3 linked regions of the Saccharomyces cerevisiae S288C genome follow. The gene in region 3 interacts genetically with the main gene of each other region. Each region holds a gene or a part of one and is shown on either strand. Other genes may lie near its edges.

Region 1 (5,081 bases), on a different chromosome or scaffold from region 3:
AACAAAACAAAAGATGATAAAGAAAATGCTAAAGGTGAAAATACTTCAATGAGGTACCCTTCGTATCTTATAATACAAATAGAAAAAATGACAATTAACCGTACGAATTGCAAGGCAAATGCAACTCTTTATTCGTGAGCCGGCCTTTGCAAGAATAAAAAATTCTTGACTTGATAGAAAATCTATTACGAACAAACAATTGCCCGTCAAAAAAAAAGAAATAAAAGGTGAAATTACAATAGTAAATATCCAACACCTTTCTTATCTTTGATATGTCTTCGAATGGACAAGGAAAGAGCTGAAAAGGGTCTAGTATACCCTTGACGTATTGATGTTATTTTTACGCTGGTCATTTTTTACTCTGTCAAATCGTTGAAAAATTACTATTAGGATATTACCCGCGCTAAAGTATTAGCATTATCGCCGTAAATTTGTCCATTAAGAATACAGACACACACACACAGTATATATATATAGATTCATTAAATCAATTTGATCAGTTAGTCTGCCAGAGGTTTGATAGTGGAAGGAAGATCTGGAAGAGGGCGTTCATAGGCTAGGCAGGCTTCATTCCTATTTTTAGAGAGGCATTCAAGCATATAATCTATCACCGAAGTGATGCCAGCTTGCCCGTAAGGAGAATTAATTATTTTATTCTTAATAATTTCGGAGCCCAGCTGTCCCTCTAGTTTCCTTAGTACTTGAAGGGAAAATATCTGAAATCTATCATAGAATCGTATCCGAAAGGAGATCAATTTCACTAATAGATCTAAAATGATATCGACGTCAAACCTTCTCATAAACTCATCATTAAAATCCATGGTTAAATAAAAGTTCAACAGATGGTGACAACTAATAGGGTCAAACCTTGCCAAAATACTAGTTCGTAGACACGCTACTGCATCGGGTAAGTCACTCACTCGAAGCAGAGTTAAGCCAAGTAGTTCCCATTCCAACCCGCTGTATTTCGCCGTAGCCTTATTTTCTTGAGATGAAGTGCTAATACTTAAATCTTCGTAAACGTCCAGAAACATAGCATCAAACCATCTCTGACAGAGCCTCTTCTGGCGTAATTCTGTGGACAGCTTGTCCGAAGATTCTATCATTTTGAATTTACTCTCCATAACGAAAACGTCAGATCTTAGCTGAAGTAAGGCGTTCCAGCCGATTCTAGCGACTAATTCCATCAACAGAAGACGTACTTGCTTTATAAACCAACTCTCTTGTCTGGTTTCTTTGCTTCGTTTTAGTAACAGCATATCTCCTACTGTATTTACCTCCTGCTGAGATACAAAGTTTATGAGATTGTCACTCTGTGGTCCACAAATAGGTCCTAATTCAAGACAGGATTTATTCCATATCTCTTCAATACATCCATACTTAGATTCATTGGGCATTACAGTGCGTCCAAATATTATTGTCTTCAACTCCAACTCATTTTCATAATGCATAATATTCATGAGGTGATTTAACTCGTGTGATGTCATGGTACAGTGTTCTCTGCTATGACATAGTGGTGCCTTGTAGTAGTTCATATAAAACTTAAAAGCGTTAATCTGGGCTTGTTTAACGATATCATATTCCGCTAAACAGGGCATCGAATTGATTGAGAGCAGTGCCTTATCATACTGTTGTGAAAAAATATAGCCTTTAGATAACAGATACCAAGATTCAAAATTATCAGAAGATAAATTCGTGGCCAATGTGGAAATGGATAAAGAAAGTTCATAGTCGTTATTGTTCAATAGAAACCTTGCTTGGATGCTTAATACATCGGTGATGCAATTGATCAAATCAGAAATGTAAGGTTCATCGGATGGCAATCCATACAGTACGGGTAGTAATAGGTCTAATATCTCGTGTATCCGTTTGATCATTTCTACATCGCGGTCATTACTTCGCTCCATGATAGAAATAATTACAATAGCGTAATATCTAGAATTTGACGGGTCATTCGTCATCAAGTTGTCTAAAACCTGGATCGCATAGTCTGTTATGAATTCTGGAGTTATAGACAGAAATACTAATAATGATTCAGTTAGGTAGTTATTCAGTATCGTTGCATAGACGCTCTTTGTAGAATCCCAACCACATTCTAAAAATCTTGGCAAAAATTTGCATAACGAATCTATCACCCTTTTATAATCACTCGCGCATCTGTTCTCAAAAACAAATGGTAATTCCACTAGCCCAGGTATTTTTCTTTCAAAATCTGAATTAATAATTACGCTTCTTATGCAACAGCTAACGAAAGTTTCTTCCCAAATAAGATCACTCAACGGTATTTCATTGTTGCCATTTAAACAGTCAACGATATTAACTTGATAAACATCTTCAGATTCATATCTTAATCTAATGTCCAATTTTTGAAAGATATTGAAAGTGCAGTAGGTTGTGATGTCGTCGTTCTTCAAAGATGCTGATTTTAGTTTCTTACCATCATTCCATTTTATCAGCTTCAAAAATGCAATTGGCATAGAGACGCTCGAGGCGTCGATCCCCGTGATGTAAAAGAATTCACCTATTTTCTCATCGTGAAATTTATCTAACTCTGTACAATGAATCAAGTCTGGAGGACCAATACCAGATTTACCAGTGCTCACCAATTCACTTAAAAGGGACGTCCTAAAGATTAAACTTTCACCATGTACTTTTTCCAAAGTTCTTGGATAATCTATAGGAACGTTTTTACGTGTTGGTTTCACACGTTGCTGTGGAACAACACCTGACGGAAGAGAACCTGCAGCCTTTTTATTCTTGCCTTTCTTGGACTTTGTAGACCCCCATAAAAAACTCATATTCCTCGAGGCCAATTGATCTGTTAACTGTACTTTACTACTTATACTACTTGATATATATGCCCTTTCTTTGCACACAATGTCTCTTTATTGCCGTTTGTCATTTTGTTTTTTTTATTTTTATGTTGAATTTAGATACACCATTGTGCATACATCTTATTTTTCCCAAACGGTGTAACAATGCCTCGGAAACCTGATGACGAATTGCTAAAATAATACGGCATTGTACGGCACCAGGACTGGCAACGTAGCATTTCCAATATTATAATATTTTTACTCAATAACTGAAAAGATAATAAGAAAATTATAAAAGTAAAAAAATTCTTCCCCGCCAGGACTTGAACCTGGAATCTTCTGGTTCGTAGCCAGACGCCGTGACCATTGGGCCACGAGGAACAAGAATTATTAAGAGACATTAAAAATTGAGAACCCTAAGTATCAGCACTATTTATTGCATGATTTTTTACCTAATATAGTAGTTCAAATTACCAGACCCAACTAATCCTGCTCTAAGAAGTAAGAAATGTGTGAATTTTGAAATAATTGTTGGGTTCCATTGTGAATAAAAGCTATCATTGAGAAATGTTTGAATAATATGATAATTACTGGTGTTCCATTATTGTTGAAGGCTATGATACACAATATACTAAAAGTTCTCTTCGAGGATATTAGAAATGCGGAAGAAGGAATCGGTATTCATGAATAGTAATGTTATTGTCTCGTTTTTTTACTTTATATGCTTATTCTTTATCTTGTTACGTTATCAATGCTTGCATTTCAGCTTCTATTATATTTAATAACCGTTTCTCATTCTTAATGTCATCTTCTTACACTGTGTATGAGAACATACTGCTAATTTGTGTGCTAGTGCATAGATGGTAGTTAATTCTTATTCAGACAAAAAGTTTTAGTATCTGATCTGTTGTTAAACATGTTAGATAAGTATTTTTTGGAATAAAGATCCACTATCGTATATTGGCTAGCGGTCGTGACACTAATATGTTATTACATACTGCATAAATAGAATACACAAATCGTGAGGTACAGTCATCCAATGTTGTGGAAGTCGATACTCAAGACCTAAAGAAAAATAAAATTTCTGAATGAAAAACATAACGATAGTAAAAATGAGCGGTATGTTATGACATAGGAGATAGAAGAACAAAACTGATCTGATCAAATTATTTTAAGAATATTTTACTAGTATGTTTACTACATGACAATCTGCAGCAGTGCCAGCTACATGGTGATCTCTCCAAAACAGACCAAACAATTTGCGCTTGTATTGCTTTTCAAAATAAAACTAAACATATGTAATTGTGCTTACAAGAATTGCTAGCTATATCTTATGTTGGTAATAGATAACGATTAGTAATACCTTTTATGAGAAAGAATAAGGAGGCAATGCCATCATTTTCGCCACATTAAGAGTGCACGACTCTATCCAGGGAATTTGATACAACACAGCAACATTGTCGCCATATTTAAAGCTTTCTACATAGCATAATGTTTTTTTTTTTTTACAATAGATAAATTTCATCCGGAAGAAAAATGAAAAAAAAATGAAAAAATTGGTGAAGTTTATGGTGTAAAATGAGAATCATACTGCTCAAATAGTGACAAAGCCATCATTAATCATAGATTTCTTCATAGTAATTGATAGAAAGAATTTTAAAAGTCCTACGTATACCAGAAATCGAGAGGAAGGATGTCGGAGTTTAATATTACAGAAACTTATCTAAGGTTTTTAGAAGAAGATACTGAGATGACAATGCCGATTGCTGCCATTGAAGCATTGGTCACGCTATTAAGAATAAAAACACCAGAAACAGCGGCAGAAATGATTAATACAATAAAAAGCTCCACGGAAGAACTTATTAAATCCATTCCGAACTCAGTTTCCCTGAGAGCCGGTTGTGATATTTTCATGAGATTTGTCTTAAGAAATCTTCATTTATACGGTGATTGGGAAAACTGTAAACAACATTTGATTGAAAATGGCCAGCTTTTTGTATCGAGAGCCAAAAAATCGCGTAACAAGATTGCAGAAATAGGGGTGGATTTCATAGCTGATGATGATATCATCTTGGTACATGGTTATTCGAGAGCAGTATTTTCTTTATTAAATCATGCAGCAAATAAGTTTATTAGGTTCAGATGTGTGGTGACAGAATCAAGACCTAGCAAACAAGGGAACCAGCTATATACTTTACTTGAACAAAAGGGCATACCCGTGACTCTTATTGTCGATAGCGCGGTTGGAGCGGTAATCGATAAGGTTGA
Region 2 (4,757 bases), on a different chromosome or scaffold from region 3:
TATGGCAAACCATATTAAAGAGCATCGTAAGGATTTTGCTAACACCAGAAATTTGAGGATATTAGTCCAGCAAAGGCAGGCAATATTAAGATATTTGAAAAGAGATAATCCTGAAAAATACTACTGGACTATTCAAAAACTAGGATTGAATGATGCGGCCATAACGGATGAATTCAATATGGACAGGCGTTACATGCAAGATTATGAATTTTTTGGTGATAAAATATTGATAAGAGATTCTAAGAAAGTGGCAAATCAAAAGCGTAAGGAGATAAGAAAACAAAAAAGGGCTACATTTTAGAATAATTTGAATCATATGTAGAAAAGCTTGTAAATAAGAAACCGTCATATTCTTTTTTTTTTTTTGACCGCGTATGAATCAGTAATTTATTTCATTTTGAATTACATCATTATAAAAAGTTCTTAGTAATATATGCATTGGGTATACAATCACGTGTACTATCAAATAAAGAAATGAAAATACGGATATACCTCTGTAATTAAGCCCCTAAGAGGGCTGTGTTTTCATCAGGATCGTCTGAGTCTGTTAAATACTCATCGCTATCTACTTCATCATCTTCGGTTTCTTTCAAAATCTCAGCATAGGTCATAATTTTGTCCCAATCGGGAAATAATACGTAATAAGCCTCAACTAGCCCAATTAAAAGCATGGCACTTCCAATACCAATCCAAAGACCATACAATTTCATGTCAAAGAACCAACTTAGGATGAGAGCCAGGGGAATTCCAAATAGATAGTAAGCCATTAAATTTACTATACTTCCTAGAGATTGCATGCCTTGACCCCTGAGGCAAGACCCAGCAACGGCATTAAGCGAGTCGAAATTTTGCACAATACCCACCAAGGGCAATACTTGCGCAATTAATTTGATGACTTCGGGATCTTTTGAGTAAATGTTGGCGATTAGATTACGTCCAAATACTAGTATGCAGCAATTGATGAACCCCGCAATAAACGAAAATGACAACCCAACTTGAGAAGAGATGTGCGCGAAATCGGTTCTTTTTGCACCAATGAAGTTCGCAATTCTCGTAGAGGTAGATATACCTATTGCAAATGGGATCATATAGAGCAATGCAGCCATAGTAGATACTGCCGACTGAGCTGCTAGATAACTGACACCGTAATATGCACTAAATAACGTCAATAGTTCATATGACAGCTCTTCCGCCTCCAACATAATAATACCTGAGAAGGCTAAATGCCCTAAATCATTCCAATGGGTGAAAGCCTTCCTTGAGAATCCACCCCAGCATTTTCTTCCATCAATATACAATGCATAAAACAATAGTAAGAAAAACATTAGCCAGAAGTTAAGCACAACGGCAATTGCAGCCCCAATAAATCCAACACCAATGTACTTGTTCCAAACGAGAGTGTAACTGACTAATACGTTTAAGGGAGCACATATTGTCAAAACGTAGATGCCTGCATCGAAAATACCTTGGGCTTGTAAAAATCGTTTTAAATTTTCAAAAAAAATATACGCTGGCGCTCCCAATATTAGTACTCTTAAAAATCGTGACGTTAGGTTGATTAATTCTTTCTCAGGGATGATATAAGAAAGAAGAGGTTCAGAATACCACCACATGACAGCAAAAGGTATATATATGACCAATGAAAAAGCAATGCAACGTTGAAGGTGAACTCCTACACTGTAGAATCTCCCAGAGCCATACGCTTGAGGGCATAGAGTATCTAGACTAGTGGCAATACCCTCGAATATCGCTAGTGTTATATTAGAAGTCATGGATGCTAAGGACACAGCTGCTAGTTCATTTTTGCCTAAGTGGCCCACAGTTAATGAACATACCATAGGGAAAATCTGTTCCAATAAGAATGTGAAAATTAGAGGGAAGGAATAAGATGCCAAAACTCTTGCTTCTGATTTGAAGGTGACGTGGCTGTGAGCCAATTCTGCTAGTGCCTCAGAATCGTTCTCGTCGATCTCTTGGTAAATTGTGGGAACTGAGCCTCGGCTAGTCACAGATACGAATGATGGTCTTCTGTGATGTGAGGTGCCTTTAGCGTCTGTTACCGCACTTCGAGTTAATTTCTGTTTCTGAGCTTGGAGTCTATTCATAAATTCGTCATATTCTAGTTCTCTTCCAGAATATTCTTGTATTCTATCTGGTGTGTTGCTTTGACTTGCTTCCTCATTATCAGAGTTGCATACCGATGAGTATCGTCGTTCATGTTCATGTAGAATCCAATCAACATCTTGTGGCGAAAGCTCAGGAGTTTCTGATACCCTTGATGGTAGAGAAATCGTTCTGCTCAGTTCGCCATCTTCTTCATCATGATAGTAAAGGTCAGGTTCCTCATCAATATTACCTAAGTACGGATTTGGTTCATGGACGTTACTTCCAAAATCATCTGTTAAAGATCTGAAACTCCTCTGATCAATATTTCTCGTTCTTGCACGAAATTTTCGTACCAGAGGATTCTTCTTGTTGGGAGGTAGGAAGCCTAGCGATATCCTCCTGTGAGTGTTACCGATACCCATACCATTTGTTCGGAGGGAAGGATGCACTTCTGAAAGAGTCTTTGACAAAATTCCAGCCATTTTTTCAACCTTTTTTTTATCCGTATATATTAAGGTATGCTATATGTGTATTTTCCAATGTTTAGTTTTTATAATAATACTTCTTCAGCATCAAATATGCTTGCTTATGTAAAAATACAATCAAGTTTTGTCCCTTGCTTGCGCGAAGATGAAAACTTCCTTAAGAAATATTCTGCATCGCGTGGAACCCATGGAAGAGGATAATAGCTGACAGTGATATTATGAAAAGATGCCAAATGGTTACCGTTTATAACTGTTACTGGTCGCGTCTCAAACGCCCTCTTTTTTCTCCTTGCATTTGCGTTTCTTTAGAGCAATTATTGAGTAAATGGTCTTGAAAAGAAATAGAAATATCCTTAGGCATTTCAGTTCATCTGAAAACATGCTCCAATACGGGCAAACCATGAACTTGTTGTTATGAAATTAATATACATATAAACCAAAAACATTGCACTACATACTTAAAGAGTGAATACACAGTAGTTTAAAAGACATCTGGCAATTTTTCAATGACGTATGCGTGACCGCCTACGCTCATCAAAGGAATTCCAGGGATTTTTCTAATTCTTTGTTTCAGGCCGGCATCGTTTGTAGCTACGATGTAACACTTATGTTGTAAGACTCGATGCACTAAACAGTCATCCGCGTACGTACCCTTGTGCGAACAGCTTAGTCTCTTTATTCTAGGATCTCGAGCCAGTTTCAAGGCGATACGGTACTTGGGGCCCAATTTTTCTAACTCTGCCATCACACAATCTGTGATTAACGGGTTACATTTTGCGAGTAGACAGTCCATCATTCCTCTAACAATATCGACTTTTTTCTGGATAGAAAAATTTATAAAATTGGTATCTATCAGTACTTGATAAGGTGGCTTTATAGCTTGATTGTATTGAAAGAAAAGTGCACTTGATACTTGTGGTATATTCCTGGTTAGCTCAGGGTCTTCTTTAGTTTTGATATTTTCCTGGTTTTTCTTCAATCTTTGGTCTTTCTTGGTGTTCAAAGTTCTTTTTACGAGGCCAAACTTTCTTGTTTTCTTAGCTTTACCCATAATTAACTGTTGTAGTATATCGATATTTCCGTTACAAGTCACTGTTATTGTGTGTTAATGCACAGTAATGTTTAAAGAGGCATCATTCAAGAATAGTAGCAAGCTGAAAAATTTTAGCCGTTCATAATGATACCTTTAGAAATATGCCAAATTTTTTTGTTATATCTTCCAGTAGGAACCGATAGTTTGAGTAATGTTTATAAAATCATTGCAAGTGAATAAGCAATTAATGGCAATAGTCCACAAACGATAGGTACATGAAGGTGGCTCACAATCAAAAAAATCAAGCTTTAAAATAGTGGATGTAGAAAAAATAAAGTGCGTCACAGACAGGATTCGAACCTGCGCAGGTAAAACCCAATGCCTAATTGCTTTTCTGAGGAAATAGCAGGCATCGCCTTAACCACTCGGCCACTGGGACTGAAACACTTTGAAGTGAAAGTGTTTCTAGTTTTCTATATCATTACTATGGTGAAAATCTATATTTTCTTGATTAGGAATAAAATCATGGAAAGAAGTGTTGGAATAAAAATTCACTATCGTCTGTCAACTAATAGTTATAGTATCAATATACTATCATATACGGTGTTAGATTATGACATAAGTTATGAGAAGCTGTCATCGAAGTTAGGGGAAGCTGAAGTGCAAGGATTGATAATGTAATAGGATAATGAAACATATAAAACGGAATGAGGAATAATCGTAATATTAGTGTATAGAAATATAGATTCCATTTTGGGATTCCTATATCCTCGAGGAGAATTTCTAGTATATTCTGTATACCTAATATTATAGCCTTTATCGACAATGGAATCCCAACAATTATCTCAAAATTCACCCAATTCTCAATTTGATAATTGTTGGGATTCCATTGTAAAGAAAATCGGTATTTCTACATTATAATATTACGATTATTTCTCCTTTTGTTTTTTATGGTTTTCATTACCCTATCACATTATCAATCTTTATATTTCAGATTCCATTAAATTTGATAACTTGGTTGATAGATGACAGTTAATTCTTTTTCCAATAGAAACAACGAAGACTTTTTTCTTACTTTTTGTTGATGTTTTTCAAGTTCTGTTTGACCCGTATTTTTCTACGTTAAAATCGTG
Region 3 (8,657 bases):
TACACGGCTCGGTGGCGAAATTGAAATTTTTTTATTTTCTTCTCTTTCATTATGGCTAGGCAAGAAATAGCGACAGCAAAACTTAAGAAAAAATGATAGAACAAGGTCCCATCCAGTATTGACTAGTAGCTAAAGCTAGAAGGTACACTTAGGTTTTTCTCCCTGTTTTTAAGTTTGAACCATTGATAAGGCCGTTCGCAGACAAGCTTGCTACCATCCAATTTTCCTTCCTCTAAAGACTTAATAAAGGCATCTAACTCCACCTTTAAATCACAGATCACACAAAGACAACATACAATAGAAAAATGGTTAGCTTAACCTTTAAAAATTTCAAGAAGGAAAAAGTTCCTTTAGATCTGGAACCTTCAAACACAATTTTAGAGACCAAGACCAAGCTTGCTCAATCCATTTCTTGTGAAGAATCTCAAATAAAACTGATCTACTCGGGTAAAGTGCTACAAGATTCCAAAACCGTATCGGAATGCGGGCTAAAAGATGGGGACCAAGTTGTCTTCATGGTTTCTCAAAAAAAGTCCACGAAGACCAAAGTAACAGAACCTCCAATTGCTCCTGAGAGCGCCACTACCCCCGGAAGAGAAAATTCTACAGAAGCATCCCCCAGTACGGATGCTTCTGCAGCTCCTGCAGCCACTGCTCCCGAAGGCTCACAACCGCAAGAAGAACAAACCGCCACTACAGAACGTACTGAATCTGCCTCTACACCGGGATTCGTGGTGGGAACCGAGAGGAACGAGACCATCGAGAGAATCATGGAAATGGGCTACCAAAGAGAGGAAGTCGAACGAGCCTTGAGAGCAGCCTTTAATAATCCAGATAGAGCGGTGGAATATCTACTGATGGGTATTCCAGAAAATCTGCGTCAACCGGAACCACAGCAACAAACAGCCGCCGCAGCGGAACAACCATCGACAGCCGCCACCACTGCGGAACAACCGGCTGAAGACGACTTATTTGCACAAGCTGCCCAAGGCGGTAATGCTTCATCCGGTGCGCTTGGCACAACTGGAGGAGCTACAGATGCTGCGCAAGGTGGACCTCCAGGTTCCATTGGCCTCACTGTAGAAGATTTACTATCGTTGAGACAGGTCGTTTCAGGTAACCCAGAAGCTTTAGCCCCATTGTTGGAAAACATAAGTGCTAGATATCCTCAATTACGTGAACATATCATGGCAAACCCAGAAGTGTTTGTGTCCATGTTGCTAGAAGCCGTGGGTGACAATATGCAAGATGTTATGGAAGGTGCGGATGATATGGTGGAAGGAGAGGATATAGAAGTTACAGGAGAGGCTGCTGCTGCAGGACTGGGACAAGGTGAAGGTGAAGGTTCTTTCCAAGTTGACTATACCCCCGAAGACGATCAAGCTATTTCGCGCCTCTGTGAATTGGGCTTTGAAAGAGATCTTGTTATCCAGGTGTATTTTGCGTGCGATAAAAACGAAGAAGCTGCAGCAAATATTCTATTCAGCGATCATGCCGACTGAGATTGTAGTAATGTTATGGCTTGAAGTATCTTCACTTATTCTCGACAATGTTGCATGATTTTTGAGCCAAGGGAAAAAAAAAGCTTACGTAGAAATCAATAACGTATGTGTATTTATATATGCTAGAAGGGAAAGAAAAGAAAACAGAGAGATGGTAATATTAATCTCAATAATAATAATAATAATAATAATAACAATAATAATAATAATAACAACAACAAATAATGATTATACTGCTTTTAGCGCATATATACAGTTTTGTTAAAGAGTTTCAAAATTCTTGTATACCTGGTACTTTTGCCCATCGGGGACAGGTGCATTACCAGGTCGGGAAGCTAACCCAGTAGCTATTCCAACGCCGGCCGCTGCGTCCAATTCCAATGGATTATCGCTCAAGAACAGTACCTCGCTAGCCTTCGCACCGATATCCCGCAAGATGTTGGCGTAAGACTGTGTTTCGGTTTTCTTTCCAGAAGTGTTGATGTCGAAATAACCATCTATATAAGAATTCAAATCCAACGAATCATGCGCAGGCGCGTTGGGATCCTGAACATACCCGAACAGCAATTTCTGTGCCTTTACAGATCCACTAGAGTAGATAAACACACGCTTCTTCCTCTTGATAAAGTCAATAGCATCTGCATAAACGGGCGCCTTAATCTGCCCAGATTCGTATCCGTGAGCCCAGACGTAGCCTTGCAACTGTTTCAAGATTGGATCCTTCACATCCTTGGCCACCAACTCCAAAATATGCGCCTGCAACTGCTCCTTATTGTCGATGTGAAACTGCGACAGAATGTTGGAAACCGGGGAGTCCCTTGTATCCTGTTGAACCAATTGCGGCACTTTATTCGTGAAATAAGGGAATAAAGTCTCCTTCACGAACGAGATCGGGCACACTGTCCCTTCAATATCAAGCAAGTAAGTCGAGTAATTGTCTCCCATTTTTGGTATACGAGCTAGCAGGACCTTTTGCCCAATGACCATTCCATATTCATCCCACTCACCACCGTCATCGTTGGTATTATTATTATCATTCCGCTTGAAGAAAAAGAAACGAAAAAAGAAATGGATCAGCAGCCGGGTTATAGCGCCCCTTATTGAATTATTTTCCTTCGTGCCTTCTCTGAGAAGGGTCTGCAGTCCCCCGCCGAGGGGTCTTTTCCCACCTTCTCAAAGCTAATAGCGATAATAGCGAGGGCATTTATTCAAGTTCCAACTACTATAAGTGGCCGCAAGGGGCAAAGACAAAGGCACACAACATATATATATATCGTGTTGTGAAGCTCGAGAAGATTAGATCAGAATAGTTCTCTTTTTGTTGAGGTTGAAACAAAATCAAAGACTTATACAAGAAGATCACATACAAGCATTTATTCACATTACTTTAAGTAAACTTCAGTAAACTACATTACATCATAAACAAAACATGGCTAAAGAAAGTACGGGATTCAAACCAGGCTCTGCAAAAAAGGGTGCTACATTGTTTAAAACGAGGTGTCAGCAGTGTCATACAATAGAAGAGGGTGGTCCTAACAAAGTTGGACCTAATTTACATGGTATTTTTGGTAGACATTCAGGTCAGGTAAAGGGTTATTCTTACACAGATGCAAACATCAACAAGAACGTCAAATGGGATGAGGATAGTATGTCCGAGTACTTGACGAACCCAAAGAAATATATTCCTGGTACCAAGATGGCGTTTGCCGGGTTGAAGAAGGAAAAGGACAGAAACGATTTAATTACTTATATGACAAAGGCTGCCAAATAGGCTATGTCGTCGGAGGAGATATTTATTACTTTTATTATTCTAGTTTTTTACAGTTATTTATTAATTAATTATTTTTATATGCATGCGAATAAAAAGTCTATATTTAAGTTCTTTTATTTATTAATACATTTTTTTTTGAGAGTCCTGTGTAGCCTATTTGTTCTTAGATGCAGATCCTCCTATAAGACATAACCTAGGATGACACATAAAACAGTCAAACGCCAGTTTGCCGCTACGTTGGCACCTGCGTTATTACCGCTCATTGAGCTTGTACTGCTGGAGGCGCTTCCGCTTACAGAAGATGTTGTTTGAGTTTGGGAAGTGACGGAAGAGGATACGGAGGATACGACTTTATCTCCGTTCTTAGTAGCAGTAGAGGAAGAAGAAGAAGAAGAAGAAGATGATGATGATGATGATGAAGCGGTGGAACTAGTCTTACTACTCTTCTTAGTTGAACTGCTGTGATCGGATGACGTTTTGGAGGAAGAGGTTGCAGTTGAGGAAGAACTCTTTTGGGTGGAAGATGTGGTAGCTCCCTTATGTGGGTCCAAGCCAGATCCCTCATCACTGTCCATCATGACCTCATCATCGGTAATAGCAATGTCTTTGGCCAAAAATTCACTGGACGAAGTATACACATAAGCAGAAGTACCATTCTTCTTGGTATCGCTTGGTGGATCATAACATGTGATATTAACTTCATTGACAATAGCATAATAATATCCTGGGTTGCTGATATCGGATGCGTCCCAATTAATTTCACCACCAGACCATGCAATGGTTCCTGGAGCGTTGGTAGAATTACCACCTGGCCAAATGGAAATATCCACCTTGGATGGGGTTTGTGGGTATTGATATTTTTGGGTGGTGGCGTTATAAGTTTCGTTCTTGTACAAGGTTCTACCGACGACACCATCGATGGACCATGTTACATAATCTTCGTGCCAATCTAATTCGTAAGTATGGTAGTTTTCAAATGTATCAGTAGTGGAAATATTGGCAGAATTCGTGTAGTTCAAAACACTTTCCCAATAGAAATTGGTTTGAGCAGTTTCTAGATCAGCACCGACGAATTCGTAATCAAGTTCATCACCTGCGCCGGAATACAGAATGAACCCAGTGACCACACCAGCAAGATGTGACGTCTTTATTCTAGCACTGACCTTACCATACCAAACAGCCCTCGTGGAGGAAAGAACGGTACCACCACTGTTCTTGGGCATCGCCAAAATTAAACTTTCTTCATCATCATAATCCAAAACGTCACCAGTATACAACCAATCAGCCTCACTAACATTTCCTAAGAAAGTGTTAGCATTCCCCAACTTAGAGGAATAATCTTTGAATTTAGTGGATGAACTCTTGCAGATAGGTACAGGCATACATGAATCATGACTAAACGAATATCTTACATCACAGTTGTTCAGACAATATTGACCAGTACCACATTCACCATATTGTGAGCAACATGGTTTATCTTCGGGACATGCTTGAGTTGCATTGCAAAATGTAGCGGCCTCTACACGTACCACGAAGGAAAAAATACTGACTAAACAAATTAGCCAACTATTAACGATTGCCATTATTAATTATATAATTAGCTTATTTGCAGGACAATAAATAGAAGTTTTACAAAGGGAACAGGGTCCAACAGAAACCATAATCACCAGGAATGTTGTTCTTTTTATACCTCAGGCATGTTTTAAAAGCCTCTTCTGCAGTTTTAATTTGGAAACTATCCACCTTGAAGATTCCCACTAAATCTTCGAAGGACGACGATTTTCTTCGAGGTTGAAAAAAGTTTTTCAAGAATTTTCGCGCTTCTTCCTAATCGGGAATTTATCTGTCATAATTATAATTCCCTATTTGGGAATTGGAACGAAATATATGCTACTATTTTAAAAATTATTCTGCACCATTCCGGAAATAACCTTCCGGTGACTGCAAGTTAGGCAACCTTATCATATGGTTAACTAGCATAATTACAAACGCGCATGAGGAAATTTAGCGAAACTACCTGCCAAATGCGGCGCTCTGGTTCAACTGTTTCATTTCTCCATTTTGTATAGCTCTACTGGATCTTCTTCGACACTGCAAACGACGCAAGAGCATTCTTGAAGTAAAAGAGGTAAATACAAAGCTGTTTACAGGCTCATCATCCATTATGAACCCTTGACTACGGAAACGCAGGATGTGGGAAATCGTTAGATTGCAAAATGAGCCTGACGAGTCCGTTCAACAACTATTTCTGTTTCTGTTTCCGTTACGGATTTCCTCTCCTCATCTTGTGCATCTGAGCTTATGCATGAACTCTCGAGGGGATTACTTATGGTGTCGTTTCCATTTTTCGATGAGTCTAATCTATATTTTTCTTGATTTTTTGGCGAGAGAATATGTGCAAATGGCTTCTGCTCTTCGCGGTCATTCCAATTAAGATTTTTACTGATACTTTCAAAAAATTCACTGGCAGATGACTCGATAGTCGGTACCGAATAGGGGCTTGCAGTTATCACAACATAGTCACCCTGTTTCAATTCAACTCTATCTTTTCCGTCAAAATTCACCCACGACGTCCCTCTTGAGTTCATATCTACTCTAACTTTTAATTCCATGCTATCTGGTAAAATTATAGGCCTAAAGCTCAAAGTATGAGGACATATAGGCGTCACCGCTATGGCATTTACGCTTGGCGATATTAAAGAGCCTCCTGCACTCAATGAGTATGCCGTGGATCCCGTAGGCGTGGCAACAATCAATCCATCTCCCTGAACCTTAGTCATTAGTGAGTCGTTTCCATAGAGTTCTAATAGGGATAAACAAGGAGCTGGACCTCTATCTATGGTTACTTCGTTCAATACGTGATGTTCGGAGATGAAATCGATGTAACATATTTTTCTCCCAGTTGCGGCATCAATTTCTGGTTTATTTCTACGGTAGAGTTTGCATTGCAACCTCATTCGTAAATTAATACGAACCTCATCTGTTAAGATATGTTTCAACGTTTCTTTGAAATTTTGAAATTCAAAATTTGTTAGAAATCCTAATGATCCAAGGGCAAATGGAACAATCGGCGGAACATCTTTCGTGAATATAGATGAAGCAAAAAGGACAGTTCCATCACCCCCTAGTGTAATCATCAAGTCAAAGAATGAATCGTGTTTTTTAACAAATTCTTTTGACCAATACTTTACTCTGTTTTTACTGCAATTGCTGTCTTTGCAGAGGTCACCAACAGCAAACTGAGTTGACTTTTTAAAAATATCTTGTACATATACAGTTATTGAATGGAAATTGCGTAAGATCCATTCCACCACTTCTCTCATGAGAAATACAGTGGAAATATCATTAATATTGCAGATTATTATCAGGTTTTCAACCTGCAAGTCAACCTTAGCATTTATAAGATCCTTTCTCAAACGCCTTACATCGTATGCAGTATCAACATAAAATGGGTATAAATTACTCGTGTCCTCACCGACAATTGTTTCGCTCGATAATCTTCTGACCCAGTTTTTTGCATCATGATAACCGCACCTCATTAAGCCCGGTTCTTCGAAGTTGCTTAATACCTTGCCTTCCGCTAAAACTTTAACTGATGTCATTCTGTCAATAGTATCCATAGTATCCATCTCAGCATCTCCCTTGGTACATGTCTCCGGGGAAGCGTTAATCAGTAATCTATCAGTTTTCATATTCTCTTTTAGTAAAAAATGTCACGTAAGCAGATTTATTGAGATTGCACTATTTCCATTTCCCTTTCACAACGCTATAGAAGTGAGATGAATACACTAACCTGATTGTAGGTTTATTTATATATATAATATCAATAGCTAGCAGTTTATTAAACGACCTGAAATGCAGTTTCTTCGATCACCAGATAAGTCCGATTATCCTTTTGTTTTCGATTTTCTTGAGGACCGGTGTGATATCCACAATCACCCTAAAACTAAAACAAAGCCATATAGTCTTAAAACAACGGAACAATCCATAACAAAAGTATATTAAATTATCTCATATGTTCAAGATTATGAGGTCCTAACAGATAACTCTTCCAGTTCATACTCAAACACCTGAAGGCGTGGCGGGCTTTTACCAAAAATGGATAAACCTCGGAAGGCCTTTTCAATCCCCTGTCTTGGCGGCGGTGTTATAATAAACTATTGTGGGGATAATAGTGATTTTCATAACGTAAAAATCGTTTACATATTGTTCAAGGGTTATAGAATAGGACATATAACAGAATACATATCACCGCAATCTCCTCTTCCTTAATATACATGGGACGAAAAGCGGTGTCCATGTTCTTATTCAAGCTGATTGAATTTTACATTTCCAGTTATCAGCTTTCAACAATGGTAATGACGCACCTAAACACCAACCGATTTCTTTATTGGCAATTTTCTTTCCAGTTCTCAATTCTCTTTGTAATGGAATGTCATATCCCGTATGTAATAAGGACACTTGAAAAGATAAGTCCAAACAGAAGTGCGAGTCACTTTCCAATTCATCTAGGGACCCCGCAATGCCACTGAAGACACTATTCCAAGTTTCTTCGCCTTTACACACTATTCTTGCCAAATCGTTCAATTCATTCAAAGTAAAGGACAAGGGCATACCCAATGGACGGGTTCTGTCGTAGAAATAAGAGAAAATATAGATATCGTTCGATTCTTTGAATGTACGAACTAAAGAAGGTTGGTGAACCCCATTGAAAGAGCATGGTGGAGACTGGCACTGAGCATCTTTATTCAAAATTTCATCAGTCAGAAATCTACATTGTGCACCACTTGGCTCGTCCGGCCCTATAAAGTCAATGGTATAAGTTTCCTTGGATTCTAATGTAACCTTTTCATTTGTGGCATTAACTTTAGGCGGTAGGCATGGAGATGACAATTGATGAGTCTTAGTGTTATCACCCTTCAATATTTTGCCGTCTTTTAATGCATTTTCCACAAGAACAGAGTTAACTTTATTTCTTCCTTCCTTCAAACCGTAACCTAGATGAGAAAATTGGTACAAGGTGTAATTTTCATCACCAAACTTCAAATCAAATTTATGCTCACCATCGACCATTTTTTCATTTATTGGGAAAGTAGGCTCAAAAACAATTTGTGTAGACCCTCCGCCTAAGTCAAAAACGGCAGCAGTAGGTAACTTGGGGCCATTAGCACCGATATTACCTAATAGGTAGTTTGTAGTAATCCAGGCGAAGACACCTTCTTCATCACCGCCCATGATGGAAACACCATCACCTTCGACAACTGGGAAAGGATAGTCCTTCTCCAAATGATCCCTTACAGCGCTCAAAATTTTTGAAGATTTGGCATCACCCAAGAGTCTTAGGCCTGCAGTAGCTTTCACCGCAACGGGAGTACAACTTCTTG

The links.
Region 1: mutations in UTR2 (region 3) and BCH2 together harm fitness more than expected from each alone (negative genetic interaction), as found in Saccharomyces cerevisiae (2 studies listed by BioGRID).
Region 2: mutations in UTR2 (region 3) and YDR338C together harm fitness more than expected from each alone (negative genetic interaction), as found in Saccharomyces cerevisiae (2 studies listed by BioGRID).

What each region holds. Positions count from the first base shown.
Region 1 is NC_001143.9:489,081-494,161, reverse strand, and holds BCH2 (Bch2p), read right to left. Parts: upstream 2,799-5,081; coding exon 501-2,798; downstream 1-500. Other genes in the region: GCN3 (translation initiation factor eIF2B subunit alpha), read left to right, coding at 4,507-5,081. UniProt on the Saccharomyces cerevisiae protein: Member of the CHS5-ARF1P-binding proteins (CHAPS) which mediates export of specific cargo proteins, including chitin synthase CHS3.
Region 2 is NC_001136.10:1,146,879-1,151,635, forward strand, and holds YDR338C (uncharacterized protein), read right to left. Parts: upstream 2,589-4,757; coding exon 501-2,588; downstream 1-500. Other genes in the region: mitochondrial 37S ribosomal protein uS15m MRPS28, read left to right, coding at 1-301; rRNA-processing protein FCF1, read right to left, coding at 3,073-3,642.
Region 3 is NC_001137.3:74,252-82,908, reverse strand, and holds UTR2 (chitin transglycosylase UTR2), read right to left. Parts: upstream 4,857-8,657; coding exon 3,453-4,856; downstream 1-3,452. Other genes in the region: RAD23 (Rad23p), read left to right, coding at 306-1,502; putative acireductone synthase UTR4, read right to left, coding at 1,764-2,447; CYC7 (cytochrome c), read left to right, coding at 2,932-3,273; YEF1 (NADH/NAD(+) kinase), read right to left, coding at 5,478-6,965; GDA1 (guanosine diphosphatase), read right to left, coding at 7,582-8,657. UniProt on the Saccharomyces cerevisiae protein: Dual chitinase/transglycosylase that plays a role in cell wall architecture. Chitinase and transglycosylase activities are coupled. Required for the polysaccharide cross-linking at the septa and the cell wall.